Linked DNA regions of Schizosaccharomyces pombe. The gene in region 1 interacts genetically with each later gene. Each region holds a gene or a part of one and is shown in the gene's direction. Other genes may lie near its edges. The genes, in order: tbf1, pof10, SPOM_SPAC2H10.01 and sut1.

Region 1 (5,049 bases):
AATATCTACTAAATTTAACTACTTTACATCATAAATTCAGTGACACTCAAATTGGTAAAAATTAATTTTAAATTATCGTAACATGTAGAGATAAAGGAAATTATTTGGAAGACGATGAATCATTCCAGATCAATTGATCAAATGCCTCCTGTTCGTGAGAAATAGGTTCATCCAACTGTTCAGAGCCTAGATTAGAAGTTCGGGAAGGAAATGCTTCAGAATTTTCTTGTCCACTAAAAGCACTATCTGTGGATTTAACACTCGAGTCTTCTTCGTAAAATGGAAAAGAATTGTTACCGGTATTTCGATTACGGTTACGAATAGCTTCCCATGCTGACGCTGGCTTTGATCGATCTTCAAAGCCATTGTCTTTAGAGTACATGGCGTCCTCTTTCTCCGTACTCTGTGAATTCGTAAAGGGATCTTGACTAGAAGAGGCACCAGTATTCGGCATACTTCCAGGTAATTGATATTTTGAGTTTTTTGGAGGGAATTCAGAAGATGAAGAAGGAAATCTGCCTTGTCGCATCGTTGTTCTTTGTCGAATAAGGGAGTCTTGTATTTTGCGAAGTATTTCAAAGCCATCATCTCTTTGACGTATAGCCGACAAATTGTATGCCAGAGTAGTAATCTGAGCAACCTATTCATAATTTGTAAGCTTGAGCTTAGTATTACTTAAAACTTACCCCATTTCCAGCAAGACCTCCTATAATTGATGTTGCATACAAGCGGATTGGAGTAACCTTTTTGTTACGAGCTAAAAAATAAGAAAGTTATTTTCAATTGCTTGTTCGAAATCTCATACCTAAGTATAATGGGAGAGAAAACCCGACTAGCATCCCAAAAATCGTATTTCTTTTGACACGGTATTTTGCATGATTTAGAAATTCCTTTTGGTCATCACTGAAATGGTTTTGAGGATCATTTAACATTCGTTCCCAAAAAAAATCCATGATAATAAACGTTGGAAGCGATTCCTGAGGCTACACAATAATGTCAAGAATATGAAACGTGCTTATACGGGTTATGTTAGCGAAATAAATGTAATTAAATTATTTGCGGACTGTACAATTTAACCCAATATATAAAAATTTGAGGCCTTTCTAATGTAAAAATACTACTACTAAAAGGTAATAGTACTCATCACTTGTTGCCTTATGGATAGTTTGGATACTGATGTAAGAGGATGTGAATAAGGAGAATCTCTAGGGATTAGGACCATCTAAATTTCCCAGCTACTACAGTGATACTTGGCATGAATAAGAAATACGTATCTGAATAAAAATTTGACACACAAGATTGTTCTGTTGAAATTTCTTATGAAACTGATAGACTGAATTTTTTTTGGCTGGTAAGCACTTGTGATGAAATATGCAACTTTTTCGAACTACGTTTTACATTCCATCTTTCAATGAAACAGACCTTGGTGGCATCAATTCGTGGTATACGATTGTTTTGAATTTTAATATTGCAAGCATATATGTTCAACAGGAATTTCCCAGTTGTTAAATAAGTCTATATCGTATAATTCTTTGTCATTAACCGTATTTATTCATTTTGAACTAATTTAGCACAGAATTCTATCTCGTAAATTAAACAAGCGCCACTGCATTTTACACAGCTAACGAAAAATACAAGAAGGCAATTGAGAAATAGAGAAATAGATGCAATACAGACTTGGTCTTTTTTTTTAAAAAGTTTTGCCAATTTAGACGGATTTTGTATCTAATATGTAGGAACTACTAGTAGTAGTTACAGCTTATTCATTAGTTAATAATGTCCAGATATCGCTTCTACAAAGGAATGAAATGTTGATAAAATTAGTAAAGAAATACAACGATATAATGGTATTTAACACATCTGGCTTATTGGAATTCGTTAATAAAAATAACGAACGCCAATGAAGTGAAATATGCAAGAGATTTTTTATTACGAGTCAATTAAATATACGCTGTCCTAATCAATTGACACACAAATACCTGAAAACTCGCATTTGGTTGTTACTTTGCCTGCATTGGAAGGATATATTTTAAAAAACCTTGTAGTAAAGAAGAATTGGAACTTTTGATGCAAGATTTACTATTCGGTAGTCACTGGATATCGTTGCTCCTTGGATTTGTTTAGCAATCGATTAATCAGACTGCTTCTCACCTATAGTTTGTATTTTCTTTGATCAATTGAAAAACTACGATTTCCAAGAAAATGTCAAAACGATCCTTAGACCCTAGTGATGATTTTAAGGGTCAAAAACGCTTAGCGATTGATCCAGAATCAACTGCCCTCGAACAAGATCGCCAAATGTTACAACAATTATCAGAACAAAATTCTGAACTCGAGCCTCAAAATGTTGCACCAAATGCAGAAATTCCTTTAGGGTTTGATCTTTCCGGAATTCAATTTAATATGACGCCGGACTTTTATTTACGCATGAATCAAGGCATGGATTACGCTTTCAACCAACCTAATCCTATTGCTACACCTCAGCAACTTCTTCGTACATCTCTTATTCCTACTCTTGGTAACCTTAGTAACATAATTTTGTCAATTCTTGGGAAGCCAGTACAAGAGGCATCTGCCATTGTCACTAATCCAGCCTCCGAAATGGGTATGGCCTTTACCAAAGTAATGAATATGTTTCGTATGGTAAAGGACATTTATACTGAAGAATCTTTTATTTATTCCTCTGCCATTGGTATGAGGACGCCGAGTCAAAGAAGTACGACTAGACGCGCAAATCTTGCTATCTTTCTGGCAGCTGTCTATGGAGCGCTACAAATTGGATTTTTTCATTTGAATGAAAATTTTCTGGAGGTTTTTGCTCCGGACGAATCTAATATCCTCACTAATCAGGGCACTCTTTATATGGAACTCAAAACCCAAGCATATATTTCGGCTATGGCTCAGGCAGAACGTCCCAAGGGAGACATATTAAACGATCTTTTTCCCTCTGACATGGCCCATCGATTTCTTATCCGACGAAATGCTAAGCTGGATGACAAACTTACTTATGTTGAAAAGCAAATCATAGAGAAATGTACGGCTAGAAAAGAAAGATTGGCAAACTTCTCCCCACAGGAAGCTTTAAATGAAGTATATCCATGGGGGAAATTTTTAAGCGAGATTGCTTGTTACATCCATAACAATTACTCGTCTATTTCGGCCATTCCAATTCCTGCTAACTCATTCAAACGACGATCCAAGAAGAACGGATTGAGGTTTAAGGCTGGCGAAGCCGAATCATCCCCTTCAGAATCTGGTTCAGACCTGACCGATAGTCTCGCATTTGGTATACCATCTTCAACTTTTGACGGCTCCTCGGAAACACAAAATGTATCCAGTGTCGTTCTTTATGATCAGGTTCGACATATGACAAATAATAACCTAAATAACAAGCGTACGAGGCGCGTAGCCAATCGTCGATCTTGGACAAAAGAGGAAGAGGAAGCATTGCTTGATGGTCTTGATTTAGTAAAAGGTCCCCGGTGGAGCCAAATTTTGGAGCTTTATGGTCCTGGAGGCAAAAAGAGTGAAGTTTTGAAATATCGCAATCAAGTTCAGTTGAAAGATAAGGCTCGCAATATGAAACTATTTTTTCTCAAAAGTGGTCAGGTGGTCCCCGCAGCATTACAATGTGTTACAGGCGATCTTCGGCGAGATTAAGTAGTATCAGGAGTTTATTTCATTCTTGATTAAGTTTGCGATTTTTTTTTAAATACTAAAACGATTAAGCGTGAGGCATTTTATGTATAAATTATAATTATTATTAATCTATGGGTTTTTTGGTGCTAATACTCGGAGGCTATTCATTACAATTGAACATTCCCGTGTATCTTTATTTACAATTTCGGAGGATGACCTGGCAATAGCTTGTTCCACAATATGCGTAACTCGCTGAAAATCGCTTCGGAATACCCGCAAGAGTATTGGATCACGGCGATCAAGCATTTGCATTTTGCTGCTGATAGAAATTGCCAGCTCTTTGAAAAAATAGATACAAATAGTTGCACCATCAAGGATAAAATTTGGTTGCATTTGAAAATATTCTAATAAATTTGGGTAGTCTGGATTACAAATATTAGCCTTTTGAAGTGACCTTTCCCAAAAGACGCATTGTGCACCAATCTTTGAAATTTGGTACCACCCGTCTTCAAATTTGGACCATATAGTAGAATTTGCCGCTGAAGGATCTGTACTGTTATGTAGGAGTCTTCGTGTAGTGGGGGACAGTTGGAAAATCGAGTCGAATTGTATAATGGCCTTCTGTATACGAGAACTTAAAAGACGAGTTAAGTCCTGTTCTAACAAATATTTGTCTAACATATATAAAACAGAGCAAGCATTTGTAAAACCATTAGAGTTCACACTGAAAGAAAGTTGATCTTCTTGTGATAATAGATAGCTGGATGTTTCTTTTATAATTCTCGATCGATTGGTTATATTAAGTTTTAAGAGTAAAGAAACGGACGATTGTCTTTTCTACAATAATTAGCCAAGAAACAGAAAATATATTTCATACCATTAATGGAAACCGGCTTAATAATTGATCAGACTCTTGTAATAGTAAAGATGCTTGATAATAGCGTGAAAGTCTTGAATTTGTTAGCATACCAAAATCATTGAGCAAAACAATAAGCATACTTTTCATTTTCATTAATCGATCCCTGGAAAAGGGGAAATAACTTTGCTTGTATGCCAAAAAACTCCCCAAGCCAATACAAAGTCATGTATGTTGAATGCAAATTTACAATTGCCTCATGAAGGGGACCCAAATTTTCAGATGGAATGACTACCAGCGAACGAATTCTTTCATAAACCAACATCAATTGTTCTAGTTTTCCCTCGATATCTTGCAAATATGACTGAGCATTCAAAGAACTAGATACATTTTTCGTCAACGTGGTTTCCTCATGCACAATCAAATCGGTAATTTGCCGCTCTACTTCTTTGAGTGCATACCCCAACCTCTTTCTGGCGACTTCTTTGTCTTCGTTAACATCGGAGTCAGCATGAACAGAGATTAACACTCGTTCAGCCTGCGCCTTTGGATCG
Region 2 (4,799 bases), 550 kb from region 1:
CTATTTATTTCTTGTAATTTATTTGGTTGTTTTCAATATTATATCTTTTTGGTCTGTCCACTAGTTATTAAATTGGTGGATTATATACCAGTAGGCCTTTTTTATTCGTTTCGTTACTGTCAGTATTTTAATTTTATGTTATTTATATCAAAGGGAAGGTTTAATGTATATTTTAAGTAATCCTAATTAATAAATTATTGAGAAATGCTTAAATAAGATATTTAAAGACAAAATTGTGTATAGCTCTCATATTTTAAAAAAGTTGGTATTCATTTTTGTGGTTACATAATTTTAAAGCGTGAAGTAAAAAATGTTTCTCAGATGGCAAGTAATACTTTAAGCACACTTAGCCAAAACACCAACCATTTTGACGAGAACCACAATTTAGTGATTGTCGGAATTGAACTTTGATTAGCATTCTTACTTATTTTTTTATTTTTAGCAAGAAAAAAAGTTAAGCTCGTCAAGATGGTAAATTTGAATATAAAAGCAATGAGATATCTTTCTGCCGAGGATTTTCGCACTCTGACAGCTGTAAGCACTTTATTTTATCTTTGGGCAGTCATATAGCTTAAATCGTTTTGATCGTACAATGTTTTGTATTTTCTTACTTATTGACACATACGATATGATGCATTCAATTAATTATATTTTGATTTCAATAAGTATTCGAACTAACAAGTTATAGGTAGAAATGGGAAGCCGTAATCATGAAGTTGTTCCAACGAATATGATTAATCAAATTGCTAAAATACGCGGTGGCTCTTGTACGAAATCATTGTCCGTTTTGTTTATGCATAAATTAATTGCAAAGGTGCCGCATATCAGCTATGAGGGCTATCGACTAACATATGCGGGATATGATTACTTGGCATTGAAGGCCTTGTCAAAGAGAGCATCCGTTTACTCTGTCGGTAATCAAATAGGCGTCGGTAAAGAATCTGATGTCTACGTCGTAGGAGACCAAAAAGGAAAGCAATATATCTTAAAAATCCACAGGCTTGGGCGTATATCTTTCCGGAGTGTAAAAAACAATAGAGATTATTTGAGAAATCGTAAAACTGGATCATGGCAGTATCTGTCTCGATTAGCTGCCACAAAAGAATTTGCTTTTATGAAGATCTTGCATGAGCATGGTTTCCCTGTACCTGCTCCAATTGATCATTCCAGGCATTGTATTATCATGGAAATGATTGATGCGTTTCCTCTTCGTGCTGTTACTGACATTCGTGATCCACCTGCTCTATATCAGACATTAATGGATATTATCGTTCGATTTGCAAGGAATGGGTTAATACATGGTGATTTCAACGAATTTAACATCATTGTTCGTGAAGATGGAACAGCTGTTGTAATTGATTTTCCGCAAATGGTATCTACTAGTCATCCTGATGCGCAATTTTATTTTGATAGAGACGTACAGTGCATTGTGCAATATTTTGAAAAAAACTATCAATACAAAGGTGATGTTCCTAATTTCGAAGACATATCGAAAATGGAAAAGGAAAATAATTTGGATATCATGATTGAGGCTTCAGGATTTAATAAGAAACAATCTAAAGAACTAGAAAAATATAGACAAGAAGAAGAAAAAAGAAAAGAAAATGGTGATGATTTATCTGATAACTATGAAGAAGAAGAAGAAGAGAAGGAATGATGGTTTTAATGAAACCATATTGCACAATTGCATGTTCAGTAAAATCATTTATTCATTTTATTAGGTATTTCTGGTGTTAGGGACTAGCATAGGGTTAATATATTCAGCTTTTTTGGTTACTGTTTTAAATTTTCATTTCAATTTGGATGTAGATAAAAGCATTTTAATTAATCTATCAAAAGATACAAGCAAACATTAATTTTCGAATATAAAATGCTCGTTAATTAATGATTACAGGACGTTTTCTGAGCGATACGTTGGTACACGTAGTAAGTTCCACTTTATATACTAAGGCAAAACGCCAAGACCAATGAAATCGGAACCAACATCTTTGGATTTTACATCCTCAAACCTAAGGAGAATGAATCGGGATCATTCTTCAAATAATACGAATAGAACAGTTTTAAACCTGCCAAAAGGTAAATTCTCACACATTCAATTTTAGTTTTCGAGATTTTGTTAACTTTTTCTAGAAATTTTGATCATTATATTTTCGTTTCTTGATCCTCGCTCTTTACTTTCTGCTCAATGCACTTGCAAATATTGGAAAAAGTTATTATCCGATGATTTAAGTTGGCGTACTGCTTTTTTTCATCACTTTGCGGGTGATCAGTCGCAAATATTTAGTCCACTAGGTAATGGAACATGGCGGCAAGAATATCTTTTACGTTCTACCATTACTAGAGCTTATGAAAAAGGGAAAGGGCAAACAGTTCAGTATGATTGTCGCGTTGGACAATTGACCAACCTTTATTACGACTTTTCTTCAGGAAGGCTTTATTCAGGAAATTGGCTTACTGGAACAATCTCCGTTTCCGACCCTACCACTGGAAAGGTTGAGAGGTCTTTATTACATGCTAGTACTGATGGCAGCTTTACGCATGGATTATCTACAATGACATTGGGGAAACAAATTTTTGGCTTTGGTTTTATGGATGGTCGCGTTGGAGTTATTTTGATGTCACGTCAAGCCGAGACTCCTCGAAAATTTCGTTATTGTCTGGATTCCCATGCTGATTCAGTTACATGCATTGATGCATTAACCGGTGATTTGCCCCCCACTGGGGAAATCGGTATGGTTACTGGATCAGATGATGGATCCGTGCATTGCTGGGATGTTAAAACAGGTGTTAGTCTTCAATCATTTCAATTCCGTTCTTCACAAATCCTTTCTTTGTGTTTCAGGCCGAAATACAAAATGCTACTCGTTGACACTTTTAATTATGAACTTAACTCATATCAATTATACTTAATACCGGGCTATGCTCGCTCCCGAAAGAATGAGCAGCCTATACTTTTATCGTCCAGAAAATGTGTGTTAACTGATGAAGAGGAACCTCCTTGTCTGATGACGGCAGATTGCTGTGCCGGTGTTGCCTTCTTGTCCAGGGGCGCACCGAAAAATTGTATTTGTCGAGTTTCATTTAAAGAATTTTTGGAGAAAAACGATAATGTCGGCGTTCAAACATCTTCAATTCCTCTCAACGGAAAACCAACCTCAATCTCCTTAGATACGAACGATCGTGTGTTGTCAAAATCAACTCCTGGTAGAGGAGCAAGACTGCTCGCTGTTGGTGATGAAAATGGTTTGGTTTATGTTGTAAACACTCGCACTGAAGATCCTAACAAGGCCATTCTTAGAACTATTACTGCATACTCAAATTTTCCTATTACCGATATTTACTTGAATGAAGTTGCAATGGTAGTAGGGTCGGCTAGCGGCTATTGCGGAGTATACGATACCGTTACTGGGAATTTTTTGAAAAAAATAGCGAGTGCCAGGAATGCTGCTAGAAGAGAACCAATTAATTGCATACTGCTTGACTCAAATCCGTTAAGTTTGAAAGGTGTGATCACCATGAGCAAGCATGTCAAATCTTGGTCTTATACAATTCCCAAACCTTTTGTTAATAAAAGGTCCAAGGTTTTACCCTTGAGACCTTCGGTGACACACGATAATCTGTCGAAGTCGTCTGACTACTCAAAAAATGAAGTCGAAAGAGAAATCATGTTAGGTTTGGACCAAATTGCTCAGGAAAGACGAGAAAAAATGGAAGCCCGGCAAAAATTTGAACAGCATTTTGGTGAGGGCTTGGTTGGTTTAAGTGAAGAAGAAATCATAGCATATGTTACCATGCTTTCACAAGAAGAGGAAGCTAAGAGAATGGTTCAGCTCTCCATGGATGTTGATAAAATAGAAGAAGATTTTAAAGAAAACGATGAACAAGCTACATCGTCATTAAATGCTTTAAGTTCAAATCATGAGCCACCGCAAGAACAAGCGAATGTTGCTGAACTGAACGAACAAGAGCAGATTGAACTAGCCATGCGATTATCACTCATGGAAATGTGATACACCTAGTAGTTTACTAAGAGGGAAAAAGTAGAAAAATATACGTTAGTTAAATTTTTGCATCTGCATATAGTCATGTCCTTCATCTATTTATTACATGCTTCATCAATCTTCCGAAGTAAAAAAAGGAGGAGGATTCAAGGGATTTTGGTGGGAATTTTTATAATTCAAAATAGAGGTTACTTTAATTTTGTTAATAAAATCTTTTAGGAATACGTATTTTCTTATATCCTACTATGCTTATTTAAGGATAATATTATTGCTTAATAAAAGCATAAAAAAATATTCTTAAGGCATACGCACCGTTGATCAGTGAATGTATAAAAAGTATCGCTTGATTGCGTTATCTGATTTTCAAAATTTCAATTATCGCAAACATCTCGTTAAATGTAAAAAAGTGTTCAGCAAAACAATGAGCGAACGTTCCTTACCTCCTCCAACACAGTGACAAGAACAACAATGGCGGGATCAGTGGATAAACCTTCTTATGAGCTTTTTTCCAAGGACACCAGAGCCTTTGTGTATGGCATGCAGACAAAGGCTGTTCAAGGAATGCTTGACTTTGATTATATGTGTGGTAGAACTGTTCCATCTGTAGCTGCTATCATATATACGTTCGGTATGTGCTTCGTTGATATAAAAATTTGAATACTAACGCGTGCTTAGGAAGTCAAAGTATCAGCAAGCTTTATTGGGGTACTAAAGAAATTCTGTTGCCTGTTTATCGTACAATTGAAGAAGTAAGTTGTCCGCATAAATATGCTTATTAGTTTGCAAATAAGCGTTTTA
Region 3 (5,357 bases), on another chromosome or scaffold:
ACGTTATCCTTCACTACAATTCCTTGGTTTGTTGACTTTCCTAGTAAGAACACATACGATGATTAAATATTTCCCTGCTCTTTCTTCCATCTTTTTTTTTCTCTTAAACATCCAATTTATTAAATTATTTTTTTGTTTATTTATTTTATTCTTTTTAATCTATTTTATTTTTATATTTCTGAAACTTTCTTTATTGCAACATTGTTCATATCGTTCAATTTTTCGTATGTTGTTTGTCCATCATCACACATTCTCTCTGTCTTGACAAAAAAAAATATTCGCTCCTTTTTTTTTTTTTTTTTTTTTTTTTTTTTTTTTAATTTCAGCCCCTTCTTCTCCACTTTCTTCCTTATTCTAGTTTGTCCCTCTTTTTCAATGTTTATTTACAATTACTTTTCATTTATTTTATTTTATTTTATCTATTTTTCTTTTCTTCTTTTTTGCCTTGATTGAGATATTTCCTTGCCCTTTTTCGGTATCTCTCCTTTTTTATTTACCTGTTCAACACCTTCATATCACAATACTCCATGCTTTCGGCATTTATCAAACTATACTCGATTATTTGTCTCAAACTCGCCTGCATGCTCTATAGCAAATCTTCCAATCTCTATCATCTTAATCCAACTCTCACCCATTTGCTGGCAAATTTTTTTTTTTTCCTGTATATGGCCAATTTTATTCCTCCCCCAACTGCCGAAATCCTCAATACTCTCCTTGCACTGCACTATTTGCCCCACCACCGAAAGGTCACCTTAGCTTGCCTTCTTTGCCGATTCCTCCATCTTTTTTAGTGCCACCCCACGTTTCACTGCCATTCCCCACTTTTTCAACTGCCGTTGTCTCATCATAGTTGACACTAGCGAACTTCGCTTATACAACCTTTGATTTTGTTCAAATGCCGTCCACCCAATGATTAATTTGGCCTACATGCCTTTATTCCGATTGCAAAGGTTAAGCTGAACCCTTCTATTTACTTACGTAGCGCTCAAACCTCCTACCAAGGTTTCTAATAGTTCTCTGAGCTTGTCGCTGCTTTCCTTTTTTGCCTTCCCGCGCTCTACCACGCCAATCCTATTTACCTATCTCCTTACTTTACAATTGTCTTGTATCATCGATTGCCTCATCTTGCTTTACTTTAATTCACTTTTCCTTTCCCTTTTTTCAACCTAGTTATGCGCTACCTTTGTTTTCCGCACCGCCAAAACCAAAACAAACTCGTCGACCCCTAATGCCATCCATACTCCACAACCGACCGGCTAAAAACCATCAGTTTAGCTATTAACTTGCACTACTACTCACCATTCCTCTACCCCATGCCATTCTTGTACATGCTTTTTCTTACAGTTACAGTAAAGCTACTCAATTCAACAGAGAATTTCCTTTTTCATAAATTTTTCTTTTCCTTCTTCACTCTGCTCTCCTCTCCCTACGTTTACCCATTCTTCTTTAGTTTATTGGTCTTAACAATTCCATATCATACCATACTATCCTATCCAGTATTATACAACACAATACCCTACCATACCATACCTTACCTTACCATGCCTTGCCTTGCCCTCCACTTTCGCCTGCAGCCAACTCTACTTCTTCAATGGTGCCCCCTTCGGCAGTGTGCATTGCCCTTCCAATCTCATCTTTTGTTTACCCCTCGCTTCTTGTTACCTCAAATTACCGGTATTTTTGAGTAACAAGTATTTCGATTCTGCCGCAACATGTCGATCTTGCTTTTTCTTTAATTGACATCATTAATTGTCCCTGAACAATTGAACTGGACCCCTCGGCATTTGGGGGCAGTTGCAACTCAGATCTCGATTGTTCGTTTGGGCAATGCTGCTTTTTCGTTATATATATCTGTAGCTGCCTGCTGGTCTTTTACAACTTTTTTTCCAAACAAAGTCTCTTTCTTTGAAGCATTGAATTATCCTTTTGCAAAGGTGATTTGTTTATCAAATCTAAGTACGAAAATACTTGTTCTTGTTCTTTTACTTGTCTTCACCATCGATTGGTTTTGACCATTGGATACACTTTCCATCTATCCATTCTTCTTTTCTTCTTTGTTGATCATTTTTTCTATCTTCATTCTGTTCGCCTTTCATTGTAGGTCGAGTTTCATATACATAGGTGTTGCCAACATTTCACCTACTCTTTCTTAAACTTCTTTTTCCCCCAAAAAAAATTCCTTGTTCCTTGATTCATTTTCAAGGTCTATTGTGCTTTGCTTTCTTCTAGCCATCGAATTGGTACTGTTTTTTTATTTTTGCTAACTGCTAAAAATAATTACAGTATATCTCTGCTCAATTCAATTCCGAATTTTAATTCGCCGGTTTTGTTTCTTACGAGCTTCTGTTGATTCTTTTCTTTGAATAGCAATCAACAACTTGGAGTATTTCTTACAAAATTCTATTCATTGAACTTTGTCGTATTCCTCACTTTTTCTCCATTACAGACTTGCTTTGTGCTCACTTTCTCGCTCATTGCTAAGTCTTGAATTTTCTTCCACAATTGCTACTATCTGTTGAAGTAAAGTTCTTTTTACGTCGCCGAGTCAATCCTTCCCTTGATTTGTTTCCCTCCAAGTCAAATAGGATTCACTCGTGTTTTGTCGTAACATCTGAATTTCTTGAAATCGGTTTTCCCTGCTTATTTATTACATTTCTCAAGTTTTTAAAAAACCTTAGTCTTTCTCTATCGTTTTTTTTCTGCTTATATTTCCTCTTCTGATTTTTTTTCTTTGTTTACCAAAGTTTTTACAAATATTTGTACTTGTTTATGTTATAGAAGCTAGGCTATCTATATTTCATACTTTTAACCTCGCTTTCTTATATCGTTTTATTTCCTTTCCGCTAATTTTTATTATTATTTATTTATTGTTATCTCGGCCGTGGTCTTCTAAAGTCCCCTCCAAGCCCGTTGCCTGTTATATAAGAGCTGGTTCTTCTGTCTTACTTCACTAATTGCATTTACTTTTTTTTCCAACTCTAATTCCCCTTTCTTTCTGTAGGGATTTCCTTTAAACTGTTAACATGACTCAAAAAAATACCGGTCCACGTCGGCGAACTGCCGTTGCCTGCGATAGATGTAGACGCAGAAAAATCCGTTGTACTGGTAGTGACATTCCTGGACAACCTTGTTTAGCTTGTCAAAAGGCTCACGCCGATTGTCACTTTTCAACCACCTCGTGGCGTGCTTGCCGTAAAAAGTCTGCCCCTTTACACTGTCCTTCAACGAATGGAAAGACCAACGTCCTTCCCTCTTATGCCTCAACACCTTCATTATCTCCTATGACCTCTTCACATTTCCCTTATGCATCCGACGGTACCTTAATATCGGCTACCAACCATTGCGATGATTGCTCTTATAATCCTCACTACCTTCCTGTGAATTCTAATGGTAGCTCTCCATCTCACACATCTTCCCTTGATTCCATTCCTGGATATGCTTCTGGGTCTGGTCCTTTCAAAACTCCTTATCGCCCAGTTGCTGTTTCTGAGAGTTCATCAAGATCCTCATTCTCCATGGGATCTTCTGAATTTGCCTCATCTACTTGGTCTCAATCTCCAATGCAATCTTCATTATATGTATCTCCATCTTCTCAACCGTTAGATCGGTTTTCCCCTGCTAGTTTCCCTTCCAAGGAAACTTTGACATCCTCTTCTTTGAGTTCATCTGTCCCTAGGAGTGTTTCTCTTAGCAACTTTGCCGATTCCAACACTTCTAACTATCCTGAGAGCTCCTTGTTACCTGCTGCTAAAGTCGGCAATAATGGTTTTGTTGGCAGCAATGTATTAGGTAGCATGTCATATTCCAACGTTGAGGATAGCGTTAGATTTCAAACAGATTCGGTCTCTCAAATGTCAAGTAAGTCTCTTGAACATTTACCCATGCTTTCTGAAATGACTCTTTCAAGTTCAGCTTCATTTGGTGCATCCGTTTCCCCAAAATCTACTCCTGGTAGCAATAGCACTGGTGCTGCCGTTGATACCAACAGCGTTCATTCCAATGGTGGATCTGATTTGGATTATTCCTCGTATCTGACGGATTCTTCTGCTGTTGATTCACCTTCTCTTGACGCAGACGAAGTCCTTCGTAGCTTCAATCTGGCTAATGACCCGATTGGAGCAGTAGATCCTCTTACTTTGGAGATTGACCAAGGAAGTGGAAGCCAATTGCTTGGACAGCAATCTTTCGCAAATGACAGTTTGAATGCCAAACAATCCTCTGGCAAACTCGGTCCTCTACCTCCCCAATCTTTTAATAGCTCTGATTACATTTCATTCGACGAGCCTTCTCGTTATTTAAGTGATGACGCTAGCTTATGGCCAGATCAATATGTTGACAAAGTTCAGCCTTTAGCTACAATGAAGACTTGTAATCCTGCTGTTTTCTCTTCAAATACATCTCTGGATGATATGTTTTTCTTTATTCGTGATTTCGATGAGGATCATCCAATTCAAACTGCATATTAAGTCAAATTTTGACATGGCTTTTTTGTTGGTTGTAACCGGGAAACGTTTATTTCTCTAACTTCGTTGTTTTTTGAGAATAAGCATTTTACCTTTCATTTCTCTTCAAAATCCGGCATTATCATTCTTTAATTGAGAAGAATAATGTTTTAAACCCGTCTTTTTTCCCATTCCAAAGCCAGCTTTTGCGTATCCCGGTAATACACAACGACTAAAAATGGTTGTATGACTAATTTGCTCGGCACCTTTTCATTTCCCCCTTTTTGTTCATTTTGATTTTTTCCAGGTTTTGTTTATAACGAGGTTTCATTTTTGTTAAATTAATTATGACTTTCCCCTATTAATACAGTGTATCATTTACTTAACCATCGAACGTAGCATAAGTATACATGTATGTGTCAAACTTGTAGACTTTTTGACTTTTCATTAGAGTTGACTCGTTCATAATTTTATTCATGCATATTAAGGAATTGAGTATTATGTGCATGGGTTTTATATCATTAATAATACTTGTAATAATCATAAATACAATAAATCCTCTGTCTTTTATTTATGCATTTTGGCGAGGCAAAGCGGGCTATCATTCAGCGCAAATGACAACCTAGAAGCCCAGGGCCTTGCCATTTATGTGGGGTCAATTTTAATTCTACCAAGTTAGTCGATCCATCTGCTGAGTAACCACGGATTAAAAGAACATCCAGCGTTTTATTGACATTATTAGATATGAAAGTAGGAAGTTCTGATAAGGAAGTAACATTTTGAACATGAACTAACTCATCACCAATACAGAGACCAGCTTCTTGAGCCGGACTTTCGACTGCAACAGAATCTACAACACAGAATGGCTTTACACGTCCTAGGATTTTGGATCTAGATATAATATCATTCATGTTG
Region 4 (5,082 bases), on another chromosome or scaffold:
CAGATATGCCTCGAATGAGTTGTTCAGGGTCACACAAACCGCGAATAACTGTTGACTTTGTGTAATCGAGGCTCTGCAAACCTGAACCAGACTCTAAGCTTGAAACACGAACATTGTTCTTCAACAAAAGACCAGCAGCAGATCTAATTGAAACACTAAGCTCCGTAGCGTTGATGAGAATGCAAGTAAGGTAATTATTTAGATCTGGTATATCCTTTGCTTTCTCAAGCAACTATAATAAAGTTAGTTATGCCATTTGATTTCTTCTTCACACGTCGTTACACACGTGAAGTAAAAAGAAGCATCTTCTACAACGAGAAAGAAACTTTTAATTTTAGAAAAAAAAAATCTTACATTTAAAGCAGCATTCCTAGTCTGAGAGTTTTCGGAGAGTGAATTCTTTATCACTTCTGAAAGTTCTACGAGGACTTGTTCCTGGAGAACCCAAGGATTGTCCCCCATCTTACTCTGTACTTACTGTAAGAAGTTGTTGGTAGTAGTTCTCTGATGAGTGTGGGGAAGGCAGGTAGTACCATTCCAAGCAATTCCAAGATTTACATTTACCAGAGTGGTATGCTATGATTCGTTAAAAAATAAATGGATTCCAGTATTTGTTTTCACATTTAAACATGTATTGACAGGATTTTTCTACCAAGTAAAAAGTTCATATTGCAAATTTCCCGTAGACGCATCTCAACACTCACAGCACAGTATAATGATCTCATGTATTAAATAAATTAATTTACAGAATAAAAAAAAAAGAATTTTAGCACGTAGCTCCCCTATATCACTTTAAATTTGTTGATTTTTCTTCAAAAAATTTACGAAAAGTCCATTGGGTTGCATGTTACCTGCTGACGAAGAGAATAGCACTGTCTATGGAAAACCATGCAATGTTATTTAGGAATTTAGGGGCGGATTGATATTGTTTTGAATACTAAAAAAGAATTATATTTAAGCTCCATGTTATTCAAGAGAAGTATTTGAGCGACAAGCCATGCGCGGATAACACCATTGAGTTTAAATTACTATTGCTCGAACGTGGCAATATTTTAACTTCTCCAATTTATGTTCAGGCCCAATAAACACGTGCAAAGAAAGCTATTGAGTAGCATAGACAATTATCTAGGTCAATCATAAATATGTCTAACTCTGTACATTAACCATAAGAAGAATTATTCATCGTTATAAGGAATGGCTGCGTTCTCCTTATTTTTTTACAATATTTATGTATATACTTAATCACGTTAATATAGCTTACGAGTATACTGATTGCAACATTGTGTTTCGCTAAATATATATCGTTTCGCTACGAACTGCTCTTTAGTTTTCAAGGATGCAATAAAATACCGTAAAAGTTCTCCATTTTACCGGAATATTGCTGTATTCAGAATGCGCCCCTGGAGATGTTTATTGATATGTATACATATTCTTATAATAATATTGGAAGTGCGATAGCTACTAGTAAATTGATGAGTGCAGTTTAAATTTGATAATATTCTATATAGTTTTAATGATTAAATTAAGATTCAAATATACTAATCATCATTAGGACTTAACGGCATCTATTTATACGATATTTCAAAAAGATAAAAAGCATTTGACTTATACAGGAATGCAGTGTGCCGCGGTGTAATGTCCTATAGTGCAGAATCACAGTGTAACGTCAACATGACATTTACGCGGAGCTGGGCTGATGGAGTCGCTCCTCTAAACCAAGCATATTAAAAGGTGTAGTAATTTGAAAGGATTCATAAGAATTCATACTTTTAAAAGGTACTTTATTAGTAAGGAATTATTTAATTATTTATTATTATTTCTTATTCCTTGCTTATTGCTTTAAATTGAAGCTTTTTGCTTATTGACGATTTCAAAGTAAGTACACGATGCTTTGTTCTATGTTCATTTTAATCGCTTTTGTTCAACTAACCTGTATCTGCAGACATTCATAACATTTTCTTACGTATCCTTTCTTTTTGTGACTCGTCGTTGAACTTTCAATCGGATTCTTTAGTTTTCTGCTTTTCTGCGAACTTAATCTACAAATTGCCATTTGAAACTTTCGAGCATCACTGGGATTGGTATCGTTGTGAAAAATTATATGTCTAATACTTTCAAACATTGCTAAAATCAATATAATAATTCTTGAAATCCCCGAAATTAGAAGGATTTTTATCACATATTCGATTATACTTCTATCATTTGAATTATTCTCTCTGACTAACATTTAAAACATTGTGGCCTGTTGTATGCTATCAAGGATCAGATACATTCATTGCAAGTTAGACAGCGATCAATTATTTTGAAAAATTAAAAAATCATTTCTCTCAATCATAATTGAATCCCCCTGAACTTTGTTGTAGGAACAGATATCTCTTACCAAAGAAGTTCCACCAAACGTTCCTCTCATTTCTCTTTTGCTTTTAAAGCTTAGTTTCATTAAAATATGTCTGTAGATGAAAATCAATTGGAGAATGGACAACTTCTATCCTCCGAAAATGAGGCATCATCACCTTTTAAAGAGTCTATCCCTTCTCGCTCTTCCCTCTACTTAATAGCTCTTACAGTTTCACTTTTGGGAGTTCAATTGACTTGGTCGGTTGAACTTGGTTATGGTACACCGTATTTATTCTCACTTGGTCTTCGTAAAGAATGGACTTCAATTATATGGATTGCCGGTCCTTTGACTGGAATATTAATTCAGCCAATTGCTGGTATATTGTCCGACCGGGTTAATTCAAGAATAGGTCGGCGGAGACCGTTCATGCTCTGTGCTAGTTTGTTAGGAACATTCAGCTTATTCCTTATGGGCTGGGCCCCTGATATTTGCCTCTTTATATTTAGCAATGAGGTTCTAATGAAACGTGTTACTATCGTTTTGGCTACGATTAGCATTTATTTGCTTGACGTGGCCGTCAATGTCGGTATGTGAATTTAGGGATTTAGTTTTCAGAGTAGTAGTTCATACAAATGACTAACTTTATAACTAGTAATGGCTAGCACTCGATCTTTAATTGTTGATTCAGTCCGTTCAGATCAACAGCATGAAGCAAATTCCTGGGCTGGAAGAATGATAGGTGTAGGCAATGTGCTTGGGTACTTACTAGGCTATTTACCTCTATATCGCATCTTCTCCTTTCTCAATTTCACACAGTTACAGGTGTTTTGCGTACTTGCCTCCATTTCCTTGGTACTCACAGTTACCATCACAACAATATTTGTGAGTGAAAGGAGATTCCCACCAGTTGAACACGAGAAATCGGTTGCTGGAGAAATCTTTGAATTTTTTACAACTATGCGACAAAGTATTACCGCACTTCCATTTACATTAAAAAGAATTTGTTTTGTTCAATTTTTTGCATACTTTGGATGGTTTCCATTTTTGTTTTATATTACTACCTATGTGGGTATTTTATATTTACGCCATGCTCCTAAAGGCCATGAAGAAGATTGGGACATGGCGACTCGTCAAGGGTCGTTCGCATTACTGCTTTTTGCTATCATTTCTCTTGCCGCAAATACAGCACTTCCATTGTTGCTCGAGGACACGGAGGATGATGAGGAGGACGAATCGAGTGATGCATCTAATAATGAATACAACATTCAAGAAAGAAACGATCTCGGAAATATAAGAACTGGTACTAATACACCCCGTCTTGGTAATTTGAGCGAAACAACTTCTTTCCGTTCGGAAAATGAGCCCTCACGACGCAGGCTTTTACCGTCTAGTAGATCAATTATGACAACGATATCCTCCAAGGTACAAATCAAAGGACTTACTCTTCCTATTCTGTGGTTGAGCTCCCATGTCCTTTTTGGTGTTTGTATGTTGAGCACGATATTCTTGCAAACATCATGGCAAGCGCAGGCAATGGTAGCTATCTGTGGACTGTCCTGGGCATGTACTCTATGGATTCCATATTCGCTATTTTCTTCAGAAATAGGGAAGCTTGGATTACGAGAAAGCAGTGGCAAAATGATTGGTGTTCACAATGTATTTATATCTGCCCCCCAAGTGTTGAGCACCATCATTGCCACCATTGTATTTATTCAATCGGAGGGCAGTCATCGAGACATCGCCGACAATAGTATAGCATGGGTGTTGAGAATTGGAGGTATATCTGCATTTCTAGCCGCGTACCAATGCCGGCATCTTTTGCCCATCAACTTTTGAAAGAATTCAGATGATGAATGTCGCAAAAATATGCAATTCGATGATATGTGAACATGAATATTATGAATAATTTACGATTGACGAAATATGAGTGAAAGCAATTGCTGTTTTTTCTAAAAGTGTAATTTGAATAAAAGAATGGAGAGGCAACGAAGAGTAATGGCATTATCAAAAGGATTTGTTTGATTGGGCAAACAATACACTGTCAAGATGGAAAAGGAAAGTTTTTCTTTGCATTTGATACAAGATTCATACTTGTGTAGAGTATAGCATGAACCAATATAAAAGATATACTTATAGTGTATAAAGGATATAAAAAGTAATAAAAATGAAAATCAACTTGATTGGACTATCTCTCTATTAATGGACACAAAAAAAACCATGGTGGCAGTAGTAATACTAGCAGATGTTTGAACTTTCTCGATTGATCCGAGTTTAAATTAGTATACAGTAAGAAGAAGCGAGCTTTGCGTAAGAAAAAGGGCAACAACACCATGTTGATCACAGTAAAGGGAAAAACAATGCATTGCCAAGCTTGTTTTCATTACAAAAAGAAAGAGTTAAAACGGAGAAAGAGCCTCAAATTAAGCTAAAAGAGCCAAATTATAAAAAGAATTTTCAGTCATATAGAATGATAATTCAGTATAATAATATGTTTGTAAGCATAAGAACTTTTGAAAGCTTCCGCTGTAATAAATAACATGTTATGTAATTCTCCATGTGCTCTTTCATCTAATCGGTCATACCATTATGAACATGCAATTAGCATCTAAACTACCTGCCTACTTTGTATAGCCTGCCAAGTCAGCTTAGTGTGTTAGGTAGCTAAGACTCCGTGTCCTCCTTGTCTAAGCCAAACGACCCAACTCGACAAGGCGTTGTCGCAATCTTCCCGCTAAGCGGTAGTG

What was found.
Region 2: mutations in tbf1 (region 1) and pof10 together harm fitness more than expected from each alone (negative genetic interaction), as found in Schizosaccharomyces pombe (one large-scale study listed by BioGRID).
Region 3: mutations in tbf1 (region 1) and SPOM_SPAC2H10.01 together harm fitness less than expected from each alone (positive genetic interaction), as found in Schizosaccharomyces pombe (one large-scale study listed by BioGRID).
Region 4: mutations in tbf1 (region 1) and sut1 together harm fitness less than expected from each alone (positive genetic interaction), as found in Schizosaccharomyces pombe (one large-scale study listed by BioGRID).

The regions. Positions count from the first base shown.
Region 1 is NC_003423.3:2,371,972-2,377,020, forward strand, and holds tbf1 (DNA-binding factor Trf1), read left to right. Parts: upstream 1-1,953; 5' UTR 1,954-2,202; coding exon 2,203-3,660; 3' UTR 3,661-3,768; coding exon of another isoform or gene 3,769-4,476; 3' UTR 4,477-4,516; downstream 4,517-5,049. Other genes in the region: SPOM_SPBC19G7.18C (uncharacterized protein), read right to left, coding at 101-640, 687-757, 806-953; COG complex subunit Cog5, read right to left, coding at 3,769-4,476, 4,517-4,589, 4,639-5,049. UniProt on the Schizosaccharomyces pombe protein: Binds the telomeric double-stranded TTACAGG repeat and regulates telomere length.
Region 2 is NC_003423.3:2,923,545-2,928,343, forward strand, and holds pof10 (F-box/WD repeat protein Pof10), read left to right. Parts: upstream 1-1,969; 5' UTR 1,970-2,018; coding exon 2,019-2,076; exon of another isoform or gene 2,077-2,130; coding exon 2,131-4,010; 3' UTR 4,011-4,246; downstream 4,247-4,799. Other genes in the region: rio2 (RIO family protein kinase), read left to right, coding at 469-534, 689-1,657; acl1 (ATP citrate synthase subunit 1), read left to right, coding at 4,470-4,629, 4,677-4,750. UniProt on the Schizosaccharomyces pombe protein: Probably recognizes and binds to some phosphorylated proteins and promotes their ubiquitination and degradation.
Region 3 is NC_003424.3:5,271,148-5,276,504, forward strand, and holds SPOM_SPAC2H10.01 (transcription factor), read left to right. Parts: upstream 1-1,874; 5' UTR 1,875-3,023; coding exon 3,024-4,466; 3' UTR 4,467-4,836; downstream 4,837-5,357. Other genes in the region: SPOM_SPAC2H10.04 (uncharacterized protein), read left to right, coding at 1,314-1,688; nas2 (26S proteasome regulatory particle assembly protein), read right to left, coding at 5,048-5,357.
Region 4 is NC_003424.3:3,933,607-3,938,688, forward strand, and holds sut1 (plasma membrane sucrose/maltose:proton symporter Sut1), read left to right. Parts: upstream 1-1,754; 5' UTR 1,755-1,875; intron 1,876-1,921; coding exon of another isoform or gene 1,922-2,227; 5' UTR 2,228-2,446; coding exon 2,447-2,924; exon of another isoform or gene 2,925-2,990; coding exon 2,991-4,174; 3' UTR 4,175-4,543; downstream 4,544-5,082. Other genes in the region: karyopherin/importin beta family nuclear import signal receptor Kap104, read right to left, coding at 1-232, 355-462; SPOM_SPAC2F3.07C (uncharacterized protein), read right to left, coding at 1,922-2,227.